3 linked regions of the Astyanax mexicanus genome follow. The protein of the gene in region 3 binds, or shares a complex with, the protein of the main gene of each other region. Links are inferred from orthologs where the notes say so. Each region holds a gene or a part of one and is shown on either strand. Other genes may lie near its edges.

Region 1 (11,212 bases), about 23 Mb from region 3:
AAAATGTTAATTTTTACTTTAAAGTTAAATTTTAAACATTTTATACAGATTTATTTAATGTGGGGTGAGGTTTTGCCATGTCCACAGTGCTGCCTGATTAAGTTGAATAACTCATTAAGATTTTTAATAATTTAGACATTTAAATAATGAAAACAGCTTTTTTTGTAAAAAGAAAATCAAGCATTTAAACATTTTCAACAATGCCCTGTCATCTTGGAACAACCACACCACTTTAAGAAAGTACGGTTGTACTGTTTCCGTTTTTAAGGGACTGAAGACTCCTGCTGCACGTTCAACAATTAATAATATGAGTTTTATTTTTTTATTAGCTTAATTAAACCATAACCTCTCCATCCTGTCATGATGGGGTGGAAAAATGCATGCAACTATATAATGAAAATAAAAAGTGATTAAGCTGGAAAAATATAATTTTTCATTAGTCATATAACTATGATAAATAGTCAAAACATTTATTAAAGTGTATTACTTATCAGTGTTGGCTTGTTACTGCAGGTAAAAATTCCAGCCTGTCACTGAATAAGTGATCAACAATAACTCCTTAACCACTCAGCCAAAGCTAATTTATATTAGGTAAATGTAATTTAATTAAATTTAATAGTTTTAGAGCCACAATGAAATGAACAGTTCTGAGAAAGATCATTAAGAGAGGTTTGTTTAGACATCTTAAGTTCTGGAATGAAACTGCAATGCTAAAATAGCTATAAAAATAGCAATAGCTAAAACAATTGAACTGTATGACCTGTTGAAACCTCTTAATGTGCTTAGTATCTTGATTAAATCCAGATAAGAATTTATCAAATTACACTTAAGTTTGGTAAACAAATGACAGAATATGCTCATTTGTTTGTTGCACTGCAATTATTACTGGTGTTTAGATTGTACTCAGAGGTGTTTTGGTTGTAGAATGTGTCTTGGCCTGACTGATGGCTCATTTCGGCTCTGACAAGCTTCTTTTTTCTTATTGGTATATTCTTGGCATAAAAAAAAAAATAACGTTAATATACTGCAGATCTTTAACAGTTAAACTATTTTCGTGGATGGACAGTCACTACTATTTATAAAAAGGCCCTGAAAATGTAAATGCTTGTGTGAAATGTTAATTAAATGAAACAAGGCTGTTTAAAATTTAATTAAAGCACATTTCTTTTAAAATAATATAATACAGTTTATTTGCAAGAACATGTTTGAGTTGGATAAAAAAAACAACAAAAAAAAACACAATACAGCCCTGACACAAAACTTGCCTTTATTCTATGCTTGGGTATTTCTGATGCAACTACACCCTCAATCATCTCTTGCAGATCTGAAAGACAAGTTTGTGTCAATGAAAACACTAATTTTTGTAACACCACATTCCTTTACCCTTCCTTATATTTCAAAATCTACAGAATAAATTGGACAAGTGAGAGGAATTTAAAAAAAATCATATTTACAACAAGCATCAAACTAACAACATTCAACTCAAACTGCTCCACCCGTATTTTAATTCCAAATATGAATCTGTAATAAAACAAGTAACAGGTGGAAAACATTTTGATTAATTGTTGTTTTCGTCTTTGCTCATGGAATTTGTGATAGTTGACATAAAAAAAACCCAATGTAGTCCAGTCAAGGAAGGGTTCTTCCAGTCTGTTGATAGTTGAATAGTTCTCCACTCTGTAAGAACTGTAAAGGCTTAAGCAAGGATATGTATAAGGTGGGAATCAGTGGCTCTTCTTGGAGGACCCAAACCCTGAGAATCCCATTACAGCAGCCATTTCATCATCCTCTTCAAAATTCAGGTCTTCCTCTGCTTTTCTCTTCTTTTCTTTTAGCTTCTCTTTTTTATATGCCTTTGCTTTTTCCTCCTGAATAAATAAATCAAAATATTAACCAAATGTACAAAATACATTTATTGTAGGCAAAGCAAAACATGTTTATAAATCAAATTCTGTACCTCTTCTCGTAATTCCTTCAATCTTTCCTCAAAATCATACTCCTTCTGTTTTTCCTCCATTTTTTTCTTATTTACTTCAAAGCGTTTTTTAACCTGATCCAATGAGGACCGTTCCACTCGCATCGACATTCCAAGGTTTCTCTGGTCTATATTAGTGAGACAAAGTGAGAAAAATGTTTTTATATAATATATACAATTTTTATTTTTACATTTTTCTGAAACAGCAAATCAAAGAAATAAAAAGAAACTCACGTTTCTTGCCATTGATATGATCCAAAAAGTTGATGGAATCTTTCACAACACAATCGCAAACATTGCAGTAGTATCTACATAAAAAAGTATGAAAACACCAATAAGACCAAATATTTCTGTTTAAAATATATTTGCTTCCAGAAAACTAAATTCTACAAAATGAACAAAAAATAAAGATATAATGGCAACATCAGCAGCAGCAGCATCTCCTGACAGTCCCTCACCATGTCATATATAATGTAGAATTATTGTTTAAATTGTCGATTTGGGACAGTTCTGTTTATGCAATATAGTTAAATGTTACCAAATTTACCTTATTCTTCCTAAGGAATAAAGGCCAGCACTTTCCATTTTTTCTCTCTTAGTAAAAATTGACTGATTCTGGATGTTTAATGCAAATTCTTTAAAAGTAGTCTTATTCACATTCAGTTGGAATCGCGGGAATTGCATTAGATACTCACCCGCCCATCTCAGCCTGAGGTGTAGTTTTAGTGATGACAATTGTCTTCCCCAGTTTAGACTCCAGATCAACCTTGTAGTCTCTGTGCCTGAGGAGCTCCCGCTTGACTGGTGGCATAGGTTTGCCTGTAAAAAAACGTTCATAGAGTTTTGTGATGCACAATAACAGAATCATAACAATACTGGCAAATAATTATTTATATAATTATAAATCTGTGCATCAGATTTAATACAATAAAACAAGAGCAAAATTCTTAATTTTGGTATGATATAATTACGATATTGATATGAACAGTATAAAAGCCACCAGCGTTGGTGTACATAATCATGCACTGAGAGACCTGGGTGACATGGCAAATTGTTATATCTGTATTGAAAGACAATCCTATGATATACAGTATTCATCATGTATTGACTCATGGGTAAAAAGCACCAGGAGTGGTAAATTCTTAAAAAATTCTACTCAAATACTCCTTAATACATAGAAAATTACTTTAGACCTACATTAATTATTATAATTGTTGCTGCACATAACATAATTTAAAGGATTTTTTACACTCTCTGTAATGAAATTTACAGTTAGGAAAGGCATATTTAAGTAGTGATGAATCTTCTACTGGCATATTTATCCCCCAGGACTCACAAGGCTGAATCTTTTTTTCCCCGAATCAATCGGTTAATTTCATTCAAACTCCCAAAAGACCCACTTTTGCCATCACTACTGCAAAGTAAACTAGACAGGTTCTAAGGTTAAACAGAGAGGATTTCAATTTAATTTTAATATTTTATTTAGAAACCTGTGGGCTAGCTAAAACACAGCATCTCTTTGGTTTTATAAGGTACATTATAAGATATGAGATAAACAAGGTGGCAAGTAGGGTTAGTGTCTACACATATGAAGTATGCGTAATTGGCATTCCAGAATAAAAACAGCAAGTCCAGTGAGAGAACAATGTAAGTAACTGTACAAGTAGTGCTGGGCGATATGGGAAAAATCATTATCACAATATGAATTTTTTTATATCACAATAACGATATATATTATGATATACTACATTTAAGTATGTTTTCAGTTATTCTTCGAAAAAACTTTATTTCAAAGTGACATTAAAACAAACTTTCACAAACGAGAATTCCTACCTTTTATTGCAGCAATATATATGTATCGAATGAAAACAGATGAGGTAGATGCAGTAGCTAATTCTTTAAAAAGAACAATGCGTCTCCATTGTTCAGCTCTCATGAGTTTAAAAACGTAAAGCATGTCGCAAACCGGTGTCTGTGCATTTCCGTCAAATAACGTAAAGCAGCGTTGTGTCACAAAACCACATTATGAAGCTTTTTTGTGAAGATTACTTTATCACTTATATAAACAGAGTTTATGCAAAGTGACCACGCTAATACATTTCATCGTAGCCTACTTTATATATTTGCATGAATAATTGATGAAATTACTGTAGAAACGATAGAGACGATAGAAGGTAGACACTTTTTTATCGTCCCCACTTTTGGTAAAGTGGCTAAGTGGAACAGCAAAGCGCAATGTGCAGACCTGTACAGACCAGTGAACATACTATCTGGTGCTTACCACTTAGTATCTAGTGCTCACCACACACCAAGTAACACAGCACAGCGCAATGTAGCAGTCTGTGAAGCCATGCACAGACCAGTGAACATACTTCCTAGTGCTCACCATTTTTTATGTAAAGAAAATATGGTATATATATATATATATATATATATATATATATATATATATATATATATATATATATATATATACCATGTCATATCAGGATTTCCAAACAATAGGCAGTGAAAGTGTGAATATAGTACAGTACAGTAGTGCACTATATAAACTATATGAATGTACTCACCATCTTTTTTCTCTCTTTCCTCCGTGAGACGCTTCTGTGCCAGCTGTTCATACTCATCTTTGTCCCACTTGCGCCTAAAATCGTTCTTAGACTACAAAAAAAAAAAGAGATTTGGAGATTATTCGCTAATTAGTTAGGGTAGCCACGGCTAGCTGGGTATCCATAAACAATAAAACACCGTGACAATAACCTGTTGTCTAACATGCCAGCTATATAACGCCTACAACATATATGGTTTAGATATTCAGTTATTGTCAGCAGCTCCTTTAACAGCATTACAGATCTATAACTGTTGTTGGATAAATCATTAAATTTTCACTGAACACTGACAAATGTTTAGTTAGCTTAGCTAGCTAGCTACCTAAGCTAATGGCCACAGGAGCGTGTTTTAGCACGGTAACGTTGTAGTTTATAGTTTATTCAGCCGGCTATGTTACAGTCTATCAATTACAGCATTTACTGAATACATTAAAACAGATATAACCTTGCAGACATTAATATAACTAATAAAAAAAAAAAAACAATATAACTCACCCCACTGCCTGACGCCATGTTGCTGACCAACGAGATCTTCTTCCTGTCTGGAGAAAAACAACAAGGCAAAATAAAAGCTCTGTGGGAACTGTGTGATTAAAGTGAAGGTGAGTTCTGTGTTAATTTGTCTCATTTATTTCAATCTACACAACTTCTCACACACGGTTTGCTGAAAAAGGTAAAATAAATAAATACAATAAAATAAATAAGAATACTATAAACAAGTAACAGGCAAACACCCACCCATTCAGAAAGAACATACAAATCAAATAAGTACAGATGTACAGGAGAATGAAAAACGTGGCTGCATGTTTCCAATTAGTATGCAAAAAGAACACAATATATACAACATAAAATAAAATGTAAAAAAAATGTTAGTTTTTTTCATAGGCATTGACATTTTTTGTGGACAATATACCATCCAAGAAATGATTGTGATAAAGGATAAAAGCAACACTTTTATAGCCTTGTAAGACTATGATTGCAATTAATAATAGTTTGGGAAATAAATTATTTTTTTCTTCACCTACTGCAGTCCACACTGTGTGTATGGAGCCTTAAATACAGTTCAATGCTATATATGTGAACAAACATACAAATAAACATGCCTATTTTCAATATTGTCATTTCAAAAAATTATATTCTTTAAATATGTCAGTAATTATCAAATACGATTTCCATTTAAGTTATGGATATGTGTTACTATTTTGTGCACCGTTTATCTATTTAAAATAAACAACATCCTTACAAAAAAATGCACCAATACAAATTCAGTTCAGGTTATTATAATGGGAATACAAGATACTACTAAACACTGCTACTTAAAGGAGCAGTTTCTTTTGACTTCACAATAGCATGATAAAACAATGTAAGTGGAATACATAATTGGATAAAATATTGTTTAGAAAAACAAAACGTGAATACAACAACATTTGTTTGTGATCAATTATTACAATTAGTACAGACGACTACTTGATGATATGTATAATATGTATAATCCTTCATGTGTATATTAAGTTAAACATTAACAGATATTAATTTTCAGAGCTTCTGCTGGCTATGCTGTCTTTAATACTGTTATGTTAGTAATATTAACCCAGATTGAGCCAGTGCGTTTTTCCAAGAAACATTGGCTTTTAACATATTACCTATTTAATGTGAACAATATTTAGTGTAATCAAATTTGGAATTTTGGTTTTCAAGTAAAATATGGTTAATTTATTATAATTAACTTTTTTAGTACAACTATATTGTGCCTCTATTTTGATGAAAAAAAAAAGTGTTTACTTTAATTTATTTTTCCTTTTGTGGGCTCTAGTCAATATTGTATATGATCCAAACACCGTGCTTGTGCCTGTATTTTTTTTTTTTTTTAACTTTACTTTAAAAGGGGTCAATTTGACCGGCTACGTAACACGTGGGTTAATTGTGTAGCCCCGCCCCTTATCCACCTGATGCTGATTTAAAGGTCTTTCAAACTATGCGGCATACTAGGTGGCAGAGTCAGCATGACAGCACGGATTGAAACTGCACTTCATAGCCCTTTGGAGTCAAGGTCCAGTAGACTTACTTACTTCTGTGTGTTGTTGCTGAGTGTAGAACACTTTGGGATTTAATCTTAATCTGGTTTCCTTTTGTTTAATTTAATTTTAGGGGCCTGTCTCTTCCCTTGTGGCCAAACATTCCAGAGTTACCTCATGATTTGAGGGTCAGACCACCTCTTGAGCCAGGCAGTCCAGAGCCATGGCTTCTCCCAGGTTGCAGCTCGGTGTATGACAGCCTGGTCAGGTAAGAAGGTAAAGATTTAAGCCGTTTGTTTTAAAGAACAAATGAGCACCAAGCACTTTTGTTTTGAACGGACATTGTAATGCTTTGTATTTTGTGGTTAATTATAAAATCTGTTTGTTTTTCTGTATTGCTGTGCATTTGAATAGCTCTAGAACCCCAAGGCCGTCCTCTGTAAGTGAAGAAAGGAATACCACCTCCTCCATCATGTCCAAGCCTCGCAGGTCTTGACTTTATTTATCAGCTCTATAATTAAGAATATTGTGAATTATGTCTTGATTATGCATGGCCTCAGTGCTAATTTTTATTTTTTTTTTCCCTCTTTACAACTCTAAGTAGATCCTCTATTCTTGAGAGGTGCATTCTCAAGATATCTACAGCTAATGTGGCTGTTGGGACAGAGGATCTAGATGATATCAAGAGGTCAGGTGCAGACTTTGAAATGTGCAATTTGTTAGGGTGACTAATATTGTGAAGCCTGTTCTAGGATGTGGATTTCTCTGTGGTTATCAAAGCTAACAAACCTTCTTAGGTCACCGTCAAGACTCCGATGGTGTACTCAAAATATGGACCCATCTCATTTTGAGACCAACGAGTCGGTTTTGAAGCGCAGACAGAAGCAAATTCAGTATGGAAAGAACACCTGTGGCTACCAGAACTATCTGAAGCACGTTCCAAAGTAAGAACAGACCTACAGACCTACATACCTTTTTACTAGCCTTAAGATAATTAGGCTTGTTTTTTTACTTATTACTAGCTTTTTTTTTCTCTGTGCTATAACTTTTAGGCGCCTTCGCATCCCTGGGTTTCACCCTTCCACTCCAAACAAATACCGCAAGTACAGCCGACGGTCTTGGGACATGCAAGTCAGGCTTTGGCGGAGAGCGCTACATGCTTGGGACCCACCTTTGACTTCCCAAGGGAACAATGAAGGACAAGACCCAGTTGATCAACTGTATGTGTAGGACTGGTATTGTATTGTGTGATGTTAAATTTAGATCATAAACATTCTGCAGATGTAGTCTTATGTTTGAAGACTTGTGCTGTGTTCCATTTACCTCAGCTGTTTGAATTGAGAATTACTTGACACCAGATTGGAGCATTCCAGTATGCCATAAAATATTTTAGATAATGTTTCACTATTTAAAAAAAAAAAAAAAAAAAAGTCAGCTATAGCCTTTGGAGTTTACTGCAACTGGTTTGATTTATCATTAACATTGTCCCAGGTTGGCATTGTGCAGTATTTAATTTGAGTACCATGAAATCATGTCTGTAGATAGATGGAATACGGACAGTACAGCAACTGATTTTATGAGACGCTAATGTATAGACTTGGTGATAAACTATTTAATACGACGCTTTTATTACTCTTGACTTGCATTGCAGCCATCTTGGATTATGAATTCTTGGTTAGTGGGGTTCTCTGAACACTTCTAATAAATAAATCTGATCTGTGAACATTTCCTAATTGGATCTAGCTAATTCTTCTTTGGTTCAAATGGAATACAGCATAAGACCTTTTTAAGGAGTTTTAAGGTTAACCTGTTGCATGCTAATTCTCTTAGGCAGGACCTGCTTGAGAAAATGAATACTGAGCTGGGAGAAGAAAAGGAAAGGACGTTGGATGTATCTGACTCAAGTGCTTCTGTACTTTCTCAACCTACTGAAGGCTTAGGCAATGGCTTCTGGAAGCCTCTTGCTCCTCAAGTAAGTAGAACAGAAAAGTTGATTTATTGTGTTTGTATGAATAGGGTGTCCTGATGCATGTTCTTATTTACCTACAGGCTGATTTAACAGGCCAGCAAAGCCAGACTTCTGGACTGGGCTATTCCTTTAATAGTCATCTAACTGCTGAGGAGAATGTCCTTGGATGGCTGCGATTTCTCTTGGAGACTGACCATGCACGCAGCGAAGTTGCCCCGGAGAGTGAACAGCCACTTTGGCGATTTTACTGATTGTACCATGATGTCTTGTGTAGACCATGTGTAAAGCTTGTTTTCCAGGAATAAATAATGACCCAGGAATGGCGTCTAAGATATGATCAAACATGTACTTGGATCTTAATGTTGAACACTGAGCACGCTGATGGTAGTTTTGCATCAAAACCCCTGTAATTCAGATCACTTAACTGTTGAAACCACTAAAATTTGCACTTTTCTTTTTTTCACTACTTGCTCGTGTTTTGTTCCTTCACTGGATATTCCCTCACTAGTATAGACACTTCTTTTCCTAAAGGCACTTTTTTTGCTGTTTTGATTTTGTGAGTTTTCCTCGTCTCCCTGTTTCACTGTAGTCAGGTTGTTTGGGGGAAGATTGTTAGCCTTGTTTTGAAATTTGAGTATTTTTGTATGACTTTAAAAGTAGTGGAAAGCAAAACCAATAAAGATATGTTAAATGTTTGCCTTGGTAATTCATAAAGTCAAGAGGGCCAAGGGGTGGGGGAGCAACCATTGGTACACAAAAGTTTAAAAGGTGAAAAACTAGCAGTAGTGTCCTTCAGTGTTTTCAGTTTGACAGACGATAGTCAAATTAACTTTATTTAGCACTTTCTACAAGCCCTTTTTTTCCCTTTTAATCTATTTACATTGTACTAAAATTAATTTTCAATGGGCATATATACGGCTGAAACAGGGACCCTGGTGCATCCTAAATGTATCAAAATTAACATTTTAACATAACATATATAGCCATTATTTTTTTTAGAAAAGTGTGTTAATATAGGACCCTGTGGCACGGCCTAAGCTTTTGTCCTTAATGGCATTTATTTCCCACTGGACTGTGTTTTTGCAGTGTAGATTCAAAGCCCCAACCACTGTCAAACATTTAAATATAAATCAATAAAAATGTCATCAATGTTACAGTTTAACCCCTTCACAGGCCAGGATTTTTGCCAATTGTCTGCCTGACATTACAACACTAAATATTGAGGATTTCTATTCAAGCGTCACATGAAAAACGTTTATGTTTGATAAGGAACATTATTGAAAAACATAATTGTAATTGAAAATATTTAAGTAAATCTGCTAATGTCAAAATATAATAAATAAAATCATAAAGTTGTCTCTTTCCTGAACTTTATTTTAAATTCAATATTTTACTAAAAATGCAAATCGAACAGTTTGTCCTTCAAACCTTTAGTTTCATTATGGTTGTCTAGTTTGTACATCTATTTTTAAATCTGCAGATAATAAGATTTATTTATTACACTTATAAATGAAGCCTGTAGGCATGTTAAGGGGTTAAACACTAACCAATGAAAATTAGGCTGTGTTAAATAAAAGATTGTTTAAAGGTTGTCTTTTCCCATCAAAAAGCTAATGTAATGCAACGAAAAAAAATATATTTTAACGTTAAATCAATGTTCTCTCTCTTGCTTGTTATCAGTGTACTGTCTGTGGTGGTGGTGCTGCTGCTGCTACCTGATAGAGGAACACTAGAGGGCGTGGACGGGGGTCTGCATGGTGTGTTTCGGCGGGGGCGGGGGGGCTGGAGGCTCTGCAGATGGAAGCCACTGGATTTCTACGGGCGTTCTTATTTTCCTAGTGGGAGACGATGGGAAGGCGGTGAAATGTCGAATTTATAGCAGATATTCGTGTTGTGTTAGATCGCTCCTCACACTCCGCTCGCGGGGGTGGTTCGCGTCGGCGTGCGGCGGGTCTTCAACGTTGATTTAACGGTATGCTGGTGTTAGGTGTAGAGAACGGGGATTGACAATAGCTAACGTTACGCCATGGGTACCCTGGACGGGTAGCCCGCTAGTTCGCTAGCTAGCTGGCTAGCGTAGCTAGTTGTTGGTCTGAATTGTTTGATCTTGTGCAGCTAGGCAATGGTAGACCAACGTTAGCTGGCTAGCAACTTGCTAGGTTAGCTAGTTAGCTAACAGCTAGGCTCCACGGGCCCTGTGTGTGAGACGGCTGTGCTGGTCTCCGTCGGCGGCGAGGTAAGTCAGAATCGTTAAATGTCCTCCATGTCTTCAGCTGTATATGTATATGTATGTGTGTTATTGTGTGGCTAAAATATCAATCAATTATTATCAGAATTACACACGCCAGGCTGTTCAATCAGCCCTATTAAGATAATCGATCGTGTGGTAGATAAGTTAGATATTTATTTATCGTGCACGGTGTTTTTGCATTGTAAAATGTATTGCTTTGCATTATTGGCCTCAACTGGTTAAGCTAAGCTACGCTAGTCTATCCAAGCCGTCGCTGTATGTCCTGATTTAGCTAGGGTTGCAGGCGTTAGTGGGCCTGTGCTGCTTTCTAGGTAGCCAAGCACCCAGCCAACATAACGTTAGCTAATAATGCTCATCACGGGCTAGGTTATGGCTAGGATGTCTTTCTCGGCT
Region 2 (10,312 bases), on a different chromosome or scaffold from region 3:
AGAAGCTGACATAGAAACTGAAGTGGTGTCTTAATTTTTTCGAGAGCTGTATATAAAGTACTTTGACAGACATGAGTCATTGATCAACTGGTAGATAAAATATTAAAAACATTGTTTAGGCATGAGACCTTTATCTTATTCTTAGCAGCAGTTTTGCAAAATATCTAAACCCAATCAATTAATAAATAAAGAAAAAAAGAAAGTAAGTAACACAACAATACCTCGTAAAATTCATGTATATGGCAAACAAAATCGACCCCCCAAAATCTATAAAATAAAGATTATGCGTATTTTGTCTATACTAGTGCATCTGAAAAAAAAGAAATATCTTTGAAAAGTTACTTTATTTCAGTAATTCCCTTAAAAATGTGAAACTCATATGTATTACACACAGAGCGATCTATTCTAAGCGTTTCTTACAGTCAAGATCATTGCTGCAGAAAATTAGAGTATTATATAAGACTAATTGGTACTTTTGGCAGTGTGGGTAGTGGGCCAAATCCTGCTGGAAAATGAAATCTGCATCTTCAGAAAGGTTGGAAGAATAAAGTTCTGTAAGATTTACCAGAAAAACACTGCACTGACTTCAGACTTGATATAACACAGTGGACCAACACCAGAAGATTACATTGCTCAGTTATTTGCTGGCAGAACCAATCAGAACCTCTATTTCACGGAGGAGGCCATAGATTTAACTAAATATGGAAACCATCGAGATTTATAGTTTTAAATGTTTTATTTATATACTTGGTCAAACTTTATTTTCCTAGAAGTCTTCCAGGTGCATTTATAGAATGAGTTGGATCCCTTTGTGCCGAGTGTCTGCACTTAAAACAGCCAACATACCAAATAACATTTCACCCAGCACTCAAACCTGTACATATTAAAGCAGATTGCACATCTTATAATGTCTGTTGGACCATATTAAAATAGATGGCACAACAAACAGCAACACTTGTGCTGTCTCGTTAGCATGTGACAAATTGTGTGGCTGATATTTTAAGATTTGCCACTTAGCAAAAAAGCTCAACCCTTCTTCTCTGGTGCTCTTTAGAGATGTTAGCAAGCATGTTTAACATCCTGTGTGAACATAAAATACAACCCCTTAACACGGACAATATTCATGAATACATTTATTACCATTAAAGTATTGCTCTGACAAAGGCAGTATATGGTTTAAAGCTTTACATTAGCCAAGTAGTTGCCTTCAAATCATAAAATGATTGTATTGTGTTAGCCACTTCTGACAAATCATGCTAATGATCTTTAGTGACCCACTTTTTAAAACTTTCCAAATTTTACCTTTCTCAAGTTTGTAAAACTCTGATCTACAAGGTACAAATTCCAAAACTCATCACATTTTACAAATGAAGTAAGGGATTATGTTCCAATCACGATCATTAAGAAAACATTCCTCAAAAGTGATGCATTTCACAATAAAACAGATGTTATCAAAATAACTTGGGCTGCAATTTTTAGTCAAATTACTTCATGGTAAATGTGTTGTTAAAATGTATTTATCATGATGCAAAAAAGGAGACCCCAGTCACGTGGTCAGGCTAATACCTCACAGACTGACCCATTTGAGCCTTATTTGCACAGTATTTAGCACTTGATTTTATTTACAAAAAAATGGACATGTACCGTCACTGTAACAACAGTTTATTTGAGTAAAATCTTTTCATAATTTACACGTAGATAAACTGTTTATTACAAGAGGGCTGCTGAAACACTTTAATAATGAACTACAATTGATGGGATGAAAAATATTTCCACTCAAAATGACTTAAAAGAATAAACAGCATCAAAAAACTTGTGTGACTCCAATCAGTTGAGAAAAAGATTCACATCATATTTTTTTTTATATACACATTACCATACAAGCATTACATAAAAAAAAATCTACAAAAAAATGTAGAAAAATCACTCGTTTCCTCTTCGACTCCTCTTGTGACTCTTCTTTGAGCGGCTGTTAAAGAGACAAACATTCAAACATAAGGACTTGACGAATAAACAAATACAATCTATTTTCATATCTATATTGATCAGGAATACATTTACAGAATTATTTCTAATAGAATTCAATTACCTTTCTGGAGACTTTGAATGACTGCGATGTCTGTGGCTTCTGTGATGACCTAAATTAAACCAAGCAGACATAATTTATTAAATAATAAAAAGATTAATATTATTTCCTTACTTTAAAATAACCTGAATCAGGTTCACAACTGAAAACTTACAAGCAGCTAATAAGAGCATAAATATGAGCTGATGTGTTGTACCTGGAGATTTGGAGCGGTGCCTCCTGTCTCTGGACCGACTGCGGTGTCTGCGGGGACTCTTGCTGCGGTGGCGATCCCGTTCTCGCTCACGTCTGGGTGATGGGCTGCAAACACGAACAGAATAACAATCACTTAAATCTCAGTATTAAAAGAATGAATGATGTATAATGTTCTGTGGTTTGCTATAGTTTAGTTCAGATGATTAACATGCATGCAGAAGTAAGAATGAGAAAGACAGATTTGCACTGTATGTGTACCTTCGTCTCTTGGGGGATCTGCTTCGTCTGTTTCAGGGTTTAAAAAAAGGGAAAAAAAAAAGAAAAAGAAAAGAACAATAATAAATTGTATGGTAGCACTTCAATTTTCATATAGACTAGTGGCAGCCACTCAACACACACACACACCTTTCAAAAGCATTCAATAAATACACCATCAGATTGAAATAATTCCAGTATAACCATGTATTCCTTTATATCCATTAACATAACACAGCATGTTGATCATTTCAGGGGGGGTTACTCTTTTAGGGATGCTTATTTAGCTAGTTTGCTGGCACTTTCTTAATCTTCACTTAACACCAACCTTCTGGGCGATCGGCTTCGTCTGTAGCGAGGAGAGGGAGATCTGCGAGGTCTATCCATATCTCTGTAACTCCGTCTGTGTGGCTCTGGTGTCTGTACTCTTTCCGGCTATAAATTAAAAAAAAATTGAAGTCAAAAAAATTACCAAACTTTTTTTTGCCCCTCTGTTAATAATATTATTGTGATAAGTATTGTTAGAGTAATACCTTCTCCTCTTCTTCGTCTTCTTCTTCACTGGACTCCACCTCATCCAGGTCTTCTTCAAGGGCACTGATACGCGGATCTAAAAGCTCAGCTTCCTCCAGGACTTGCCTCTTCTATAAAAGATGAACTCAATTTCAGTACAACAAAGGGTAACAGATTTAAACCCAAATTTGCATAATTGCTCACATATAACAATATTCTAAATTATATACAAAAAGAAAACAAACCTGGAGCCTAGGGAGGATGACATCACACACTCGCTCGGCATGAAGCAGCTCGTCTATAAACTCGTCCACATGCATTATCTCAAACTCTGGGAAGACAGAGTAAGATAAAGTACGTTAGAAGGTTTTCTTGGTTTACAAGGAATTACTATATATAGTTACTCTCATTTATGAACCAATGCGGTATTAGTTTCAATGTGCTGCTTACCTCCATTTCGGTTCTGTGTTTTGATTTTTCTGTAGTCATTGTACAACGGTTCCAAATACTTATAACAGTCCACTGAGGTGCCAGTCAGGCGCATATACGTTGCTCCAAGCAAGCGGACATATCTGAACAAAACATTAAAAATTACATTCAGCACTTGCATGCATAGACTATGATATTCTGTTTTCTAATGATAGTAGCTGTATTTATTTCCTAATAGACACAAAACCCAATAGTTTAAACAATAAACATTCTGCTTAAACCAAATGCATTTGTGCATGATGGGCATTAATTTAATCACATGTGTCTGTTTTATTTTCTTCTATTCATTTTTACCTAAATGTAACACACCCCACTCAGCCAACCAAATGCTGAAATTAGTTTTAAAACATAAAAAGTCTGGTAGGACCGCTTGTGAAGTCATTACAGTTTCCAATAAAGAAATTGTAAAGATATTCTTTATGTGCAAAAACCAGGAAGCTCAAATAATACTAGGAACAACCTAACACATAAGGAAAAAACTCAGGAGACAGGTCAGTGATAGATAAAATATAAATATAGGTGAGATATGCATACTTAAAATCTTCGTTCTTGATGAATTCTACAATGATGTCCTTCTCAGGCTGAATCTGGAGCATCTTCAGCGTCAGACATAAGAAAGGTGTGGGTTTGATGTTTCCGCCATACACTCCTCCGACAAACTTCAGTTCCATTGCTTTGTCCACAACAAGCTCAGCTTAAAGTTGATATATTCAGTGACCATGAGGAACAAAAAGATTAGAGTCCAGAGTCAGAACAAATTCAAAGCTCAATATACATAAAATAATAAACTACTGATGCTCTAAACGTCAACAATTTAACAATACCTACATCCAAAATAGAACAGATATGTAGCATGTCTAATATCCATTAAAAATTACATTATGCAGGTTAGCTAGCTAGCAACATACTGGCTTATCATTTACAGCTCTGAAAAGAATTAAGAGACCACTTCAGTTTCTGAATCAGTTTCTCTGATTTAGCTATGTATAGGTATATGTTTGAGTAAAATGAACATTGTTTTTTATTTTATAAGCTATAGACACCATCTCCCAAATTTCAAATAAAAATATTGTCATTTAGAGCATTTATTTGCAGAAAATGAGAAATGGCTGAAATAAAAAGATGCAGAGCTTTCAAACATCTTCAAGAATCTTCGCATGTTCTCCTCCACCAGTCGTACACACTGCTTTTGGATAACTTTAAGCCTCCTGGTGCAAAACTTTAAGCAGTTCAGCTTGGTTTGATGGCTTGTGATCATCCATCTTTCTCTTGATTATATTTCAGAGGTTTTCAGTTTGGTAAAATTAAAGAAACTCGTCGTTTTTAAGCGGTCTCTTGTTTTTTTCAGAGCTGGATTGCTAGCGTTAACTAAACTAGCTCCCTATGTATCTAACTAATGCTTTAAGTTACTTAAAATGCTAACCTAGTAAACCTAATTAGCAAAATAGCTCAAAGTACTAGTGAGATACATAGAGCTAATTTAGCTAACATGGCTAACGCTAGCTATATGTTATTAGCATGTCAGCTTTCTTGCGTTAGTGCGCGCATTTATGAATACAAAAGAAAGATGTCCAGGGTTTAACGTTAGTTAATTAAGGTTCACTGCCAAATCTACCCAAGAGAACAGATAATTAATACAGTAGCGAGCTGCAGGTAGATAACCCTAAACACAGCTTAGGAAGCTAAGCTAACCTAGCTGGCTACACAGCTAACTAGCACAACACCAGACCGGCTAACTAACGCTGTTTTCTCCTCACCTGTGAGACCGAAACACTCTTCCTTCCAGTATTTGGACTCGTAGATTCGAGTGCGGATAATTTTCTCCACCAGGTACTGGGGGTTAGTTCCGTGTATACTGTTCGCATCTTTCACTGTTCTGTTCGCCATTTCCACCAGAGAACTGATGAATGAAACGCGCTCACGCCGGAACACAACCCACTGAACTTCCTCTAAAGCGCCCTGCTGCTGGACTGATAGTGGGGAGTACTGACACCTACAGCACGGAGTGTGGAGTAAACCCACGGCTAAATGTGGATGTTAAATGAGGGAATTACTTTAGTTTCTTTCTTTCTCTTCACACGCTAACAGATTGTGTTTCAAATGACTAAAATGGTCTCAATATTTGCTGTTAACTGTGTATGATAAGTACTATATATCCTCTACCTCAGTAACTACCCTGAAAGCATACATACTAAGACCTTTTTGTAAAGGTCTGAACATCTTAAATGCATCAACCTCATTTGAATTGATTATAAATTGGTTTTATTAATATGATATGCTCCAGAGACCGATCGCACCCCACATACGTCGTTGAATAATCTGTTTTACGCAGGAAATTTGGCATGTTAATTTGCTAGGTCACAGATACGTCGATTTCACGTCTGCTTTATTCATGAAATTTGTTATGTTAATTTCCCAATTCAGATGTGATCTGAAAAAGTCCCCTTGTAAAGTGCAGAAATATATAGCATGCTATGACATATAGGTTTGATGCTGTAAAATAACCATATATGATTCCATATGGACAAGTCAGTCTTAGAAAAACTTTGAATTTGTAAATAAACCCTTTAAAAATATCTAGCGCAGGAGTTCTTTAGCAGTGTTAGTGAAATATTCTCAAATGTTCTTACAATACCTTAAACAGCACAGATCCATTAATTAGATTAACATAAATAATATACATATATAAATTAATAATCGACACCTGAGAAGTTGTCAGGTTTGTTTTCCTTATAGATGTTGGGATTTTAGTGTGAGCACTCCCCTGGGTGTTTGCCCACAGCGCTAATTTTTATACACAAAATGTACTTTTACGCACGGGATGCGTTTCTACGCACGGGATAGGCGCGCACTTTTACGCACGGGATGCGTTTTTACGCACGCGATGCGTTTTTACGCACGGAATGCGCGTTTACGCACGGCGCGCGCTTTTACGCCCGGGATGCGTTTTTACGCACGGCGGACACTTTTACGCACGGCGGGCACATTTACGTGTCTGGTATGTTTTTGCGCATCTCTTTGTGTTGTAATGTGTTGCTACATGCTTCCCCAGTAACAAGCAGAACTGCTAATGTGGAGAGTCTTACATAAGCTTTTTAAATGCTACGATGTATCAGTTTTATATAAATTACATTGTATTTATAGACAAACTATTTTAGTTAATTATTTCTATCCATAATCACTGTCAAAACAAAAAACGTACAAAACAGTGACTTTACATAGGGAGAAACTCCCTTCTTAATCTTTAATAAAATTCATTGTAAAAAAAACATTTATATTGGTCCATTTATAGTAAAATAAAAATGAAATAATGCAATAACTACTTTCAGGTTCAGGTATTAAAAGTTATATATTGTTTTTAGAGTTTTGGAAACGAGGGATTTAAGCACGTAAACAAAGTGATAAAAAAAGTAGCTACAACCAAACTCCTGTGCTATAATGTTGCATCATCTTGGAGATCTTGGATCTTGGAGCACTTGAAGATACCCAAAAGGACCCTTGGAGATGCCCAAAGGGACATTTTGAGAAGCCCAAAATGGCACTTGGAGCTGCCCAAAAGGACACTTGAAGATGCCCAAAGGGACACCTGGAGATTCCCAAAATGGCACTTGGAGATACCCAAAAGGACACTTGGAGATACTCAAAGGCACACTTGGAGATGGCCAAAGGGACATTTGGAGATGCCCAAAATGACACTTGGAGACATCCAAAAGGACACTTGGAGATGTCCAAAGGGACACTTGGAGATGCCCAAAGGAACACTTGGAGATGCCCAAAAAGACACTTGGAGATGCTCAATGGGACACTTGGAGATCCCCAAAATGGCACTTGGAGATACCCAAAAGGACACTTGGAGACACCCAAAAGGACACTTGGAGATGCCCAAAGGGACACTTGGAGATGCCCAAAATGATAATTGGAGATGCCAAAAATGACACTTGCAGATGCCCAAAGGGACACCTGGAGATGCCCAAAAGGACACTTGGAGATGCCCAAAGGGAGACCTGGAGATGGCCAAAATGACACTTGAAGATGCCCAAAGGGACACTTGGAGATGCTCAAAATGACATTTGAAGATTCCCAAAATGGTACTTGGAGATACCCAAAAGGACACTTGGAGATACTCAAAGGCACACTTGGAGATGGCCAAAGGGACATTTGGAGATGCCCAAAATGACACTTGGAGATGCCCAAAATGGCACTTGGAGATGTCCAAAATGGCACTTGGAGACATCCAAAAGGACACTTGGAGATGTCCAAAGGGACACTTGGAGATGCCCAAAGGGACACTTGGAGATGCCCAAAAAGACACTTGGAGATGCTCAATGGGACACTTGGAGATGCCCAAAAGGACACCTGTAGATGCCCAAAATGACACTTGGAGATACCGAAAAGGACACTTGGAGATGACCAAAGGGACACCTGAAGATGCCCAAAAGGACACTCAGAGATGCCCGAAAGGACACTTGGAGATGCCCAAAGGCACACTTGGAGATGCCCAAAGGGACATTTGGAGATGCTCAAAATGGCACTTGGAGATGCTCAAAATGGCACTTGGAGATACCCAAAAGGACACTTGGAGACACCCAAAAGGACACTTGGAGATGCCCAAAGGGACACTTGGAGATGCCCAAAATGATAATTGGAGATGCCAAAAATGACACTTGCAGATGCCCAAAGGGACACCTGGAGATGCCCAAAAGGACACTTGGAGATGCCCAAAGGGAGACCTGGAGATGGCCAAAATGACACTTGAAGATGCCCAAAATGACACTTGAAGATTCCCAAAATGGTACTTGGAGATACCCAAAAGGACACTTGGAGATACTCAAAGGCACACTTGGAGATGGTCAAAGGGACATTTGGAGATACCCAAAATGACACTTGGAGACGTCCAAAAGGACACTTGGAGATGTCCAAAGGGACACTTGGAGATGCCCAAAAGGACACTTGGAGATGCCCAAAAAGACACTTGGAGATGCTCAATGGGACACTTGGAGATGCCCAAAATGACACCTGTAGATGCCCAAAATGACACTCAGAGATGCCCGAAAGGACACTTGGAGATGCCCAAAAGGACACTTGGAGATGCCCAAAAGGACACTTGGAGATGCCCAAAGGCACACTTGGAGATACCCAAAAGGACACTTGGAGATGCCCAAAATGGCACTTGGAGATGATCAAAAAGACACTTGGAGATGCTCAAGGGGACACTTGGAGATGCCAAAAAGGACACCTGTAGATGCCCAAAACGGCACTTGGAGACACCAAAAAGGACACTTGGAGATGACCAAAGGGACACCTGAAGATGCTCAAGAGGACACTCAGAGATGCCCGAAAGGACACTTGGAGATGCCCAAAAGGACACTTGGAGATGCCCAAGATGGCACTTGGAGATGCCCAAAGGTACATTTGAAGATGCTCAAAATGACACTTGGAGATGCCCAAAGGGACACTCGGAGATGCCCAAAAGGACACTTGGAGATGCCCAAAAGGACACTTGGAGATGCCCAAAATGGCACTTGGAGATGCCCAAAAGAACACTTGGAGATGCTCAAAAGGACACTTGGAGATGCCCTAAGTGACACTTGGTGATGCCCAAAAAGACACTTGGAGATGCCCAAAAGGACAGTTGGAGATGCTCAAAATGGCACTTGGAGATGCCCAAAAGGACAGTTGGAGATGCTCAAAATGGCACTTGGAGATGCCCAAAAGGACACTTGGATACATATATTTGCAAGGATGTACTAGACTCAGTTTAGTTTAGTTTAGTTTAGTTTAGTTACTGTTACAATGCCCCTCTCAGGCTGGTACCTTGCTTTTCTTGCCTATAACCAGTCGGAAGTAAACACGATTTTTGTTTTGATGTGCATCAGAGATGTCCAGACTGACATTTTAGATCATCTGCATCTAAAAAAAGATTTAATATTGAAAGGAGAGAGAGCTCATACATTTTCATACATCTTTTTTCCAGATGTAGAAACTTTAAATAAACACAAAAATACTAAATAAACCTTCGTCTAACCCATATTAAAATATAAAAAAACAGGTGGATGTTTATGATACTCACGACCAAACACGTCGACCCCGCAGAAAAAAAGAATATCCGCTGGGTTGTATCTGAAACGTATGACATGTTGCCTAGTTAGGCAGGAAAGAACCCATCCTTGTCTGAATCGATGTTTAGTAATTTAGCCTTCTATTTTGTTTAGCATTAAGGTTAACAGCTAATGAGAACACATATAAACGATCATATATTGTATGGCAGGAAGCGCTATTTTTCTTTTTTGTTTCGGTTACAGATTCACCGCTTTCTACGGCTTTAAGTGAGAAGGTTTAGGCAGTAGGACAGCAAGTCAGCATGTAGTTATGACACGCACGGCCTACGCCATCGGGTCAGTAGGCGTGGATTCATTCCACTGGTCCAATGATATGTCGGTATGCAAATAGTCCTCATCTTTCGCGGGAAAAGTTGTGTGTCGTGTCTGAAGGCAACAGGGGGTTGGGGGAGACAGAGCGAGCACGGATCAGTGTTTTAAAGTTTTAACGTTATATCACTTTCCCATCTAGTAAGGATAACAGCACACTGTCGGATTGGTTAAAGAAGCTTGATATATTGCAGAGGCTCTACTAAAAGTAAGTGATATTGGTTCAGTGGGTCGTCTTCAGCTGTAACTTTACATACTGACTGCAACTACACCTACAGACGTATGCTAAGCTAGTTAGCTAAAGTTAGCCAGCTATCTTTACACGCTGTGGAATAGTGTTGCCCTC
Region 3 (10,361 bases):
CAAACAGATTACACTTAAGATTCCTGAATCCACTTAAATGTCATGACGTAGTGCAGTCACTCACTAAACACACATACATATTTACATTTTAACAAACATTATCATAGGTCCAGACTTTAAGGTGTGAGAATGCCCTAGATTTTTTTTTTTTTTTTTTTACAAGACATGGGATAGCTGTACTTTGTGCAACAATCCTTACTTTGTTTATAACAGTAGAGCATACCTTGTGAGACAAAAAAACACAGACTGAGCTTATGGAATTAAACACTATAATTTATTCTGGCAAAAAATTACATTTTTACACACAATACAAACAAATATGCAGAGTAAGATCATGGCTTTAAGTTGACTGCTTTCTCAAGCTCCTTGGCCACCTGTTCTGCGTTCATATTATCCAGAGCAAAGCTGCGTTCTTTCCCCAAACCTGGAACAGAAAAACAGAAAACCATGGTCAGAGCTTCAGTTCTACACTGTATACTAACACCACTTTTAACACAGCCCACAGGAACAGCATACAATACAGGGCGATTTGTTGTACCTTGGGCTAATACTAATTCCTTTCAATGTACATTTATACCTAGAGCAATTACTGCATGGAACAAGGTGCAACAACTCTCATGACTAAATCTAAGATCATCTTTAAAACACAGGTCAAAATATTAGAGAATTAAGTTATATTTAGTTGGGTATTCATTTATTATTGCAAACTGTGTGTGACAATGTCAATATTTATATATTGTGTGTTCTATTGGTGTTTTCCTTATTTAAGCTCTGTAGTAGTACTTTAATGATGAAACTTTGCAACATTGATGGAATTAATATTATTTTAAATAAATACGATAATAGTGACTAACCTGACATTTTGTACCAATCTGTGGATTTTATTGTTTATAGACTACAGTGTTATTTAATATAGCTATCAAACCATAAAAAGTGCATAGCAATTAAGTAGTTAATGTATTTATGAGCACGTTTTTTCCACATAAGCTCATTCTTTGCATTCTTGGTACAAAGAAACACACAATTTGTCCATAGGATGAGCATCAGTATCACTGGAGAGCAGCTCATCACCTCCAGACTCTGCTAGCTACTGGTCAGGGAATGCTGCACAGACCAGGTCATGAGATCAAACTTTCAAAACATAGGGCAGTATAGAGATGTATGACTAAATATATTCATTAAAAAATTAAAATCTATACATTCATTATGGATTCAAATTAATTCCTGTCAGACTATATTACAACACACAACATATTCATACTGCATTAGACTGTAGGACTGTGAATTGATACTGTATTAGACTGTTAAAAATAATGTTATAAAAATTCACAGTCAGAAGCATGATGAAAAAAAAAACACTTGTTTCCTGACTAAAAACTACACACAATAAAGATTCATAGTGCATTTAGACTGTATGACTACAGATTCACACTGCATTAAAATCACTTACTTAAACTGAAAAATGACACACACATGTTCCAAATTCATACTGGATTAGACAATAGGACTACAGATTCTTAGTGGATAACACACAAGTAACAAATGCCTATTTCACATTCATACCGGATTAGACTACTGGTCAGACTATAAAAAACTAGGGGTAATCTCGATTCAGATGTGGACAATCCTGAATTGATTCACAAACAATAAGAATCAATTTTCTAGACATAAGATATGATTGAAAACAAAATGACAGGACTCAAAAGGCAGAACTCAGAAGTGTAGCACATCAAACACATAACACAAGATACAGTCACGCAAGAAACCCCACAGGCACAAACTAAGCACTGCCTGGTTTGGGACTATTAGTGTGTACCGGTCAGATACGCTCTTATATCCTCCCAAGTGCAATGCCAAGGGTTGGACAATGAAACTGAAACACCTGGTTTTAGATCACAATAATTTATTGTGGCGACGGACAGTTCTGATGGAAACAGGAGAGTTGAGGTGCCGTGATTTGGGCAGCCGTGGTTTTAGGTTTTTTGGATACAATCCAGGTTAGCACCCAAACATCCCTTTCAGACAGCTTCCTCTTGCATCCACAGTTAATCCTGTTGGATGTGGTTGGTCCTTCTTGGTGGTATGCTGACAATACCCTGGATACTGTGGCTCTTGATACATCACAAAGACTTGCTGTCTTGGTCACAGATGCGCCAGCAAGACGTGCACCAACAATTTGTCCTCTTTTGAACTCTGGTATGTCACTCATAATGTTGTGTGCATTGCAATATTTTGAGCAAAACTGTGCTCTTACCCTGCTAACTGAACCTTCACACTCTGCTCTTACTGGTGCAATGTGCAATTAATGAAGATTGGCCACCAGGCTGCTCCAATTTAGCCATGAACCCTCCCACACTAAAATGACAGATGTTTCAGTTTTATTGTCCAACCCCTGTAGATCTCTTTAGATCTCTCTTCTCTCTGTCTTATTTCTAATTTTATTTTTATAGCTAACAAAAGCACTATATTTTATATCTTAAATGCTTTTAATATCACTAATTTAGCTTCTATTGCACTTTTCTTCATTGTAAATTTTCTATACTCTGTTTTAATCAACATCAAACTAATAATAATAATAATAATAATAATAATAATTATATATATATATATATATATATATATATATATATATATATTTTTTTTTTTTTTTTTTTTTTTTTTTTCCTTTTTAGGGGAAATAATTTAAATTTACTTGCACTTAAATATCAGGTAAGCCACTCCTGGGAATCTATTGTGTGTACATAAGTCACTATGAAGCTTTTTAGAATGTGTAACTTTCTATTTTATATTTAATACTTTTTTATGATTATACTATAATACTTTACTTATATGCAGATCAAACAAAGATCAGCCACAACACATCATCCATCCAAGTACTAATGCAATTAGGAAAAAGAAATCCTGTATAGAACAAAAAGATGCATCAATAATCATTTAATAATCTCATTACAGATCTCTGAATCGTAATCGAATCCAATTGTGTGGTGCCTCGGGATTCCCACCCCTAATAAAAACTATACACACAATTCATACTGGACTAGACTGCAGAACCATCTGCAGAATCAAACTAGAAAAAACATACTGTCAGACTGTAAAACTACACACACTGCAGATTCACATTGGATTAAACTCACTACACATAAATATATAGTGTTTTTTAAGGTCTTACCATATCGGGCCCAAAGCTTGGGCTGAACTCCAGAGCACTCTCTGATGAGAATGGGGAATTCTGGGTTGGCTTTCTTCAGTGGGACGTAGAACTGCTCTACAAACTCCCTGTTCAAAACACATTAAAACAACATAAATAAACAACTAGAAAAGAAAAAGCCGTGAACAAACTTTACATTCACTTCACAAAATTCACTAACAACGCTGAAAATGAGTTTTATTAAATGGTTACATTTTAGTATATTGTATTGATACCTTACCAATGATACCTTACTTTAACTAAATGCTGAAGTTGGGGTTTAAATCTAGAGTCCAAAACCTGGAATTGGATCAATGGTGGAAAGTAAACTTGTTTGGCTAAATGATCTGGGCATAAATACATTTAGCGTTAAACTGTATGGTGAAACACACATAAGTTCCTTTGCGTGTGTTTGGCTATTAGAGCTGTGGAGTCCAACTGGGACTACTGCACCATTCGTTCTATTAATTCCAAAATGTATATAAAATATATAAATACATCTACTAATAATACTTTTAAGATGTAAAATAATAAATGAGTGACCCAACAGCTGTACAGTCCTATAAACCTCATCCTAATACCTTAAATATTGTTATTATTTCGGCCTGATCAATTTCGGGGTTATAAACACCGCCATGCAGACTGCAGTAAACCCGTCTCTCCGAGCGGTGGTAAACCCCCGTAAACCCCTGAAAGCCCCCGTTAGCCCTGCTCGGGTAGTTTACCTGGCCCCCTGGCTCGCAGGTGAGCTCTGGCAGAAGTGCAGGCGGATTTCCCGCAGGTTCCTCGCCAGGTTAGACCCGATCGCCCTCACCGCCGCCATCGCTCTCACCTTCAGCTCCGCTGCTTCTGCTGCTGCAGGAGAAACACAGCGCGCCCGCAGCCGCTACAGCGACACCCAGCGGTCAGAGAGTGAACCGCACCTCGCTCAGGACTTTTAGTTTGAAATTGCCAACGAAACTTACATAATAATAATAATAATAATAATAATAATAATAATAATAATAATAATAATAATAATAATAATAATAATAGGTAACTCAAACATTCGAAGACACAAATAATAGAAACAACACTGACAAAATTATATCTAAAAGCTATTAAAATAAAGCAAACAGAAACATGGATGAATAAAAAATTAAAGTAAAAAAAAAAAAAACACAATAAACCTAAAGGGAATGCGCATAACAGTATAAAGAGTTATTTTCGTAATCCTTACAGTATGATAACACTAAACATTTTAAACAATTGAAAACTCATTAGAAGATGACAAAGATGTTTTAAGTAAAATGTTTAACACTCTTAGTGATCTAACTAACAGCTATTTTTGTTTTTGTTGTTGTTCACAGAGGGACTCAGCGAGTTAACAGTCTGTAAATATATTTTCTGTATTTTCATGTCTGAGATATTACAAGAAATACAAGATATATAAGTAATATTTTAGAACATTTAACTTTGTGCTATGTTACAGGAACATCATCACAATTCCATCGTCATTCTTTCACAATATTAAACGACGTCTCTAAGCAGTGAATGAGAATGAATGAGCAGTCAGTAGACTAAAAATAATAATAATATTGTAATAATTTGTAAGAGGTGAAGATCCATGAGCCAGGACTCATATTACTCATATTTATTACAATACACATTATTTAAAATAAATACATCACGGTTTAGCACTAATAAGGTGGAAATAGTAATTATTGTGGCATTAAAATATGTGATTGAATCGGTGGAATTTGGTGCTATTAGTCCTCCGGTGTGTAGGGGGCGCTGATCGCTGTAGGTGCACTGCAGTAGGCTCTACACAGCAGACCTCTGTAACTCGCAGCCGTGTTGTTTTTGTGACTGTTGGCTAAAAAATCCGCCAAATAAAGGACTTTCTTTACGTTAAGTTTAAACTTTAGCCTCCAGGATGCCTGAACGGGAATGTAAGTGTTTATAATATAGCGCTTTACGCGTTAATCTGGCGTATTTGATGTGTTTTATCGCTGTTAGCCTCAGTGTTAGTCTATCTTCATAAATACGTTGCGTTATTCCAGTATATTGGACTGAATTTGTGTTTTATTAAACAGTGACTGCTCCACTTTAAATGCTTTATAGTGGGACGGGAGGGTTCTGTAACTGTGTGGTCCCCAAATAACTGTGGAATCGTCTAGTGTAAAAAGTGTAAATTGCTGTAAACAAATATGAAACTGCCTTTGTGTTGGAGTCGTCCGTTCCACCTTAAATGATGCGGCAGTTACCTACTGCGACCCAATGTAATTTTTCTAAAATTTAAGATGGAACGGACTTATTTTTATTTTAATAGAGGGACCGCTGTTAATCTACGGTGTATAAAAAAAGAGAGAAAAACACAGAACTCAAGTTTAAACTGTTTAATAAGTTTAACACAAGAAATAAAGCCTAACTTGTGGTGATGTTTGTGGAAGCTACTGAAATGTAATGGTGTTGTATGGCTGATTTATACAGATTTAACTGTAATATGTAAAGTGTAATTTTTGACCGTTTTTATTTATTCACCCTCTTATTCTAATCTTCAGCCGAGCTGTACTCTAACCCTCTGGCCCCGGACGGCCATGAAGTGGAGGACCATCGCTCAGCTCTGCAGTGAGTTTGGATGATTTTTATTTTTAGTTTTACTTGATGTTTACTGCAGTTTTTATACATGGTATTGAACCTTGTGTTCTGTGCTATAGTTACCCCTTTGTTTCCTTAAATGCTGGTAAATCTGATAATCTATGTGTAATATTTAGATCCAAGCTGACCAATGAAGACTTCAGGAAGCTGCTGATGACCCCAAGGGCAGCCCCCTCCTCAGCTCCACCATCAAAGTCCCGTCATCATGAGTATGTACAACTTTGAACACAATTTGGCTTACTGAAATAACAATTAAAAAAAGGGTAAATAGTAGAAGCCATATGGTCCAATGTGTTACCTATAGTGTATTACAGTCTGAATGAGTCAGAATGAGCGTGTGGATCATCTAAACATTTTAAAGTGCCTCCAACGCTTACTGCAGTGAATTACAGTATATATGAATGACAACTTGAATTATATAAACATCATAGTAAGTGTCTGATTGTTGTAACCACATTTCTACTTTAATTTCCCAGAATGCCTCGTGAGTATAATGAGGATGAGGATCCTGCCGCTCGCAGAAGAAAGAAGAAAAGGTGGGCTTAAATTATATAGCGTTTGTGTTTAAATAAAGCTGTTGAAATGGTGCTACTGATCTAACTTGTTATTTTTCCTTTAGTTATTATGCTAAGCTGCGACAGCAGGAGCTGGAGCGAGAGCGGGAGCTGGCGGAGAAGTACCGAGATCGAGCTCGAGAGAGACGAGATGGAGTTAATAAAGATTACGAGGAGACTGAACTCATCAGCACCACTGCCAACTACCGAGCAGTGGGTCCCACCGCAGAGGCGTAAGAGACCAGTCACTCTCAGCACACAGTACAGCAGCATGTTTAAATAGTGTTTTTGTGATTGATTTATTCAGTTATTTTAAAGCGATAGTAAGTAAGAATTTCCTAGTTAGTGTCCTCTCTGGTGAGAATGTGTAATTGCACAGTGTGTGTTGAGAGTAATTTTAATGCAGAGTAATGTAAATTAATTGGTTTTAATAACTTATTTATATTACATTTGTTCATTTTCTCATTAATGAAATACTTAGAAAATATAGAGAGCATTTATATCCAATAAACCTACCAGACCACTTTCTTTTATAGGATGACTTTATTAGACATTGCAAGAATGGTCCTGCCAGAACACTGATAGCATTAATCAGAATATTCTTTCCCTGCCCTTCCCTGTCATACTGCTTTCAGTTTAAAATAAAAGTCTTATGGACTGCTGCTTTAAGGTTCTATATATTTTCTGATTTTACAGGGATAAATCGGCAGCTGAGAAGAGGCGTCAGTTGATCCAGGAGTCTAAGTTTTTGGGTGGTGACATGGAGCACACTCACTTGGTGAAAGGTTTGGATTTCGCGCTGCTGCAGAAGGTAAGCAAAAGCCTAAAAAAGCCTTTTTGAGCCAATAAGCCACAACACGTTGTGTGTCCAGAACTTTCCACAATGCTGTCATTTGGCAACAGGCAAACGAAACCACAAAACATATGCCAGCTCATAAACTTGTGAAGGCATGTTTGGCTTATGCAGTGCTTGTAAATATAATTGTAGTTTTGGAGAGTTTTTCTCTGCAAAATGTGCGGAGAATCATATATTTCTATATATCTTCCTTTTAATGAATCAGTCTGTCTCATTTACTGTTCCATTTTATTGTTTTATTCAACTTGATTTAGATCTACATGTGCATGTAGTGAGCCTACATTTCTAGGTTTGCTGAAAGTTAAAAGTAGAACTGCGAGTGGGAATGATAAAGCATGATGCTTAGAAACGTTCACCTCATGAATTTGTCTGCGAATCAAGTTTTTTTTTCTGCACTTAAAAATGAGAAAAACAAACAGAGCCTACCCCACTGTACAAGATGATGATGTACAAGTAACACCTCTGTGACTCAGTGCAGGCCCGGCCATGTTTAGTAAACTTAGAATTATAAAGTAAATCATTTGTTATGAAGAGATGGCTGGCTGAGTAATACACGGTCAAACTAACAGAAAACCACACATGGCCTAGTATGGGCAATAGTTGGTACCAGGTCACTAATATTGGTTACCTCATTGGACATTCAAGATTAATTTACTACTTAAAAGAATAAGAAATCCATCTTAAGTTGTCATTTTAAGGGCATTTTATTTTTGATTATGACAGTATTTTTTTCTGGAATTAAGCAGACTATTCTAAACAGTGCAGTAATAACTGTGTTTGATGTTTTTTTATTAATAAATAACCTCCTTTTGTTTAGGTGAGAGCTGAGATCACCAGTAAGGAACGAGAGGAAGAGGATATGATAGAGAAAGTGCAGAAGGAAGTGAAGTAAGTGTAAAATCCTGATCGTCTGCTTTAGTACAGATTTATTATTATTACTATTCTTATTTATTTTTATCAGCACTGATTTCTTGTGGTTTTGTGTTTTGTAGGAAAGATGAAGATCCTGAGCAGAAGATCGAGTTTAAGACCCGTCTTGGTGAGTGGGTTACTCAGTATATTATGTTGTGTTTATTATGTTAAAATATTTTCTATGAATAGAATGCATGTACATTATTATGTGGTTTATATTAAAATGGCTATGTGTGATAACTTGGTTCCTTTTTTATATTGCATTTTGTTGCTTTTTCTTCTTATTATTATTATTATTAGATTAATTTATGTGAAGAATTAATTTTTGGAATATTCTAATCAGGGATTATATTCAGAAAGTAGGTAGCTATGTGGCCAAAATAAGGCTTTCTAAAGCTTGACTAAATGTTCTGCTCTGTGATTGGTCCGTGCAGGGCGGAACATTTACCGGATCGTGTTTAAGGGGCGTCAGATGGAGAGGAATGAGTTGTTCTTGCCGGGTCGGATGGCGTATGTGGTGGATCTGGAGGACGAGTACGCAGATACAGATATACCCACCACTCTGATTCGCAGCAAAGCAGACTGCCCCACCATGGAGGTACATACACACACACACACACACAATAATATTAACTGTATCTGACTCAACAGCAATACAACAGTACAACAGCAGCAGTCAGAAAACTAAAGAATCCTGTCTCCCCCCCCCCCCAGGCCCAGACCACCCTGACCACAAACGACATTGTCATCAGTAAGCTGACCCAGATCCTGTCATACCTGCGGCAGGGAACCCGCAACAAGAAGCTGAAGAAGAAAGACAAGGGTAATAACAGTAACATCCTTTGTACCCTATATCAGCGCTTACCTAGAACCTCAGTGGGTCTCATGTATTAACTGATTGTTCTGTGTTTAGGAAAACTGGACGAGCGAAAAGCTCCGGAGGCTGACTTAAAGTGAGTACAGTATACAGTATGTGGAATAATGATTTTAATTATGCTTAAAATGGATGCATCAATTACTTTAGAACCCAGATTATTTATCCAATAATAGTAAAAAAAAAAAAAAAAAAAAAAAAAAACAGTGTTGAGCCTAATTATTAAAAAATGCTGAATATTTTATACTTAACAATAACATTTTAGATGAAATTAAAAAGTTTCAGAGAATCTGTGTTTAGTATCGCTATTCAGACAAAAAATTCATTTTATTGATAAATTTGGGCCAGAAATTGTAGAAGTATATAGAAGTACAATATTTGATTTAAAGTAAATACATACTGCATACCATTTGTACTATTGATAAATACAATAGATGTAAAAGTATGTGTGAATATAAGCTGATTGGTTGTTGGTGTACCTGAGCAGTATGATGATTTACATTGATCGTTGGTGTTTAATTGTCTTTAGTATATTTGAGGATATCGGAGACTACATCCCATCCACATCCAAAGCGACCCGGGAGAAGGAGAAAGAGAAGGAGCGGTACCGGGAGAAGGAGAGGGAGCGGGAGAGGGAGCGTGAGAGAGAGAGAGAACGAGAGAGGGAGGAGGAGAAGAGGCATCACACTCACAGCTACTTTGAGAAACCTCGACCTGAGGATGAGGTGAGAAAATAGGCAGTGAAAGGATGGATTTGTTTGACTGTATATTGCTGCAGTGTTATCATAATAAACAGCAATCAGCCATAACATTTAAACTAGGGGTGAGCAAATTAAATATCGTATTAATTTCAGGGACATGATACTGCAGCAAAATGCACATTAAAATATTATTTAGTATAAATATAGCAGCTTTAAACATTAAGCGGAAACAAAAACATCTGTACATTTCTATTTCTAATGTAATGTAATATAACAAAAACATTTAATATTAATAATTTAGTGCATGAATATATGCTGCAAACAAACTGTTAACTGTTAACCTGAAAGCTTAAAAGTAAATCACAAAAAAATACTAAATAGCCTTGAATACAGAATACTGCTGTTATCACAATATAGATAGTTTTTAACCAATTGAAACTTATAACAACTTTATCAATTATAATATGATTTGGCACACCCCACTGCCAACTGTGATGAATAATGTTAATGATCTGGTTCCAGTGGCTGCTGTATCAGTGTGGATATATTAGGCAGCGAGTAAACAGTCAGATCTTGAGGTTAAAGAATCTTTACCAAGAAACTATGAACTTCTATGAAGTTCTAGAAGACTGGGCCT

The links.
Region 1: ik (region 3) and zmat2 share a complex: the UniProt entries of both Homo sapiens proteins name them as parts of the spliceosome B complex. The link is inferred for Astyanax mexicanus from reciprocal best matches to the Homo sapiens genes IK and ZMAT2.
Region 2: ik (region 3) and prpf38a share a complex: the UniProt entries of both Homo sapiens proteins name them as parts of the spliceosome B complex. The link is inferred for Astyanax mexicanus from reciprocal best matches to the Homo sapiens genes IK and PRPF38A.

Annotation. Positions count from the first base shown.
Region 1 is NC_064424.1:10,756,853-10,768,064, forward strand, and holds zmat2 (zinc finger matrin-type protein 2), read right to left. Parts: upstream 5,182-11,212; 5' UTR 5,098-5,181; coding exon 5,080-5,097; intron 4,637-5,079; coding exon 4,546-4,636; intron 2,795-4,545; coding exon 2,671-2,794; intron 2,284-2,670; coding exon 2,210-2,283; intron 2,104-2,209; coding exon 1,958-2,103; intron 1,869-1,957; coding exon 1,725-1,868; 3' UTR 1,136-1,724; downstream 1-1,135. Other genes in the region: slbp2 (stem-loop binding protein 2), read left to right, coding at 6,588-6,634, 6,733-6,867, 7,014-7,088, 7,201-7,287, 7,397-7,543, 7,652-7,819, 8,430-8,571, 8,649-8,819. UniProt on the Homo sapiens protein: Involved in pre-mRNA splicing as a component of the spliceosome.
Region 2 is NC_064412.1:22,006,366-22,016,677, reverse strand, and holds prpf38a (pre-mRNA-splicing factor 38A), read right to left. Parts: upstream 5,483-10,312; 5' UTR 5,426-5,482; coding exon 5,296-5,425; intron 4,233-5,295; coding exon 4,073-4,232; intron 3,622-4,072; coding exon 3,500-3,621; intron 3,381-3,499; coding exon 3,295-3,380; intron 3,181-3,294; coding exon 3,070-3,180; intron 2,972-3,069; coding exon 2,865-2,971; intron 2,567-2,864; coding exon 2,540-2,566; intron 2,387-2,539; coding exon 2,283-2,386; intron 2,139-2,282; coding exon 2,090-2,138; intron 1,970-2,089; coding exon 1,924-1,969; 3' UTR 1,647-1,923; downstream 1-1,646. UniProt on the Homo sapiens protein: Involved in pre-mRNA splicing as a component of the spliceosome.
Region 3 is NC_064424.1:33,881,990-33,892,350, forward strand, and holds the start of ik (protein Red), read left to right. Parts: upstream 1-4,967; 5' UTR 4,968-5,102; coding exon 5,103-5,118; intron 5,119-5,730; coding exon 5,731-5,797; intron 5,798-5,943; coding exon 5,944-6,036; intron 6,037-6,303; coding exon 6,304-6,363; intron 6,364-6,446; coding exon 6,447-6,614; intron 6,615-7,077; coding exon 7,078-7,192; intron 7,193-8,054; coding exon 8,055-8,125; intron 8,126-8,229; coding exon 8,230-8,276; intron 8,277-8,583; coding exon 8,584-8,747; intron 8,748-8,863; coding exon 8,864-8,972; intron 8,973-9,062; coding exon 9,063-9,102; intron 9,103-9,552; coding exon 9,553-9,748; intron 9,749-10,361. Other genes in the region: ndufa2 (NADH dehydrogenase [ubiquinone] 1 alpha subcomplex subunit 2), read right to left, coding at 333-424, 3,170-3,276, 3,913-4,010. UniProt on the Homo sapiens protein: Involved in pre-mRNA splicing as a component of the spliceosome. Auxiliary spliceosomal protein that regulates selection of alternative splice sites in a small set of target pre-mRNA species. Required for normal mitotic cell cycle progression.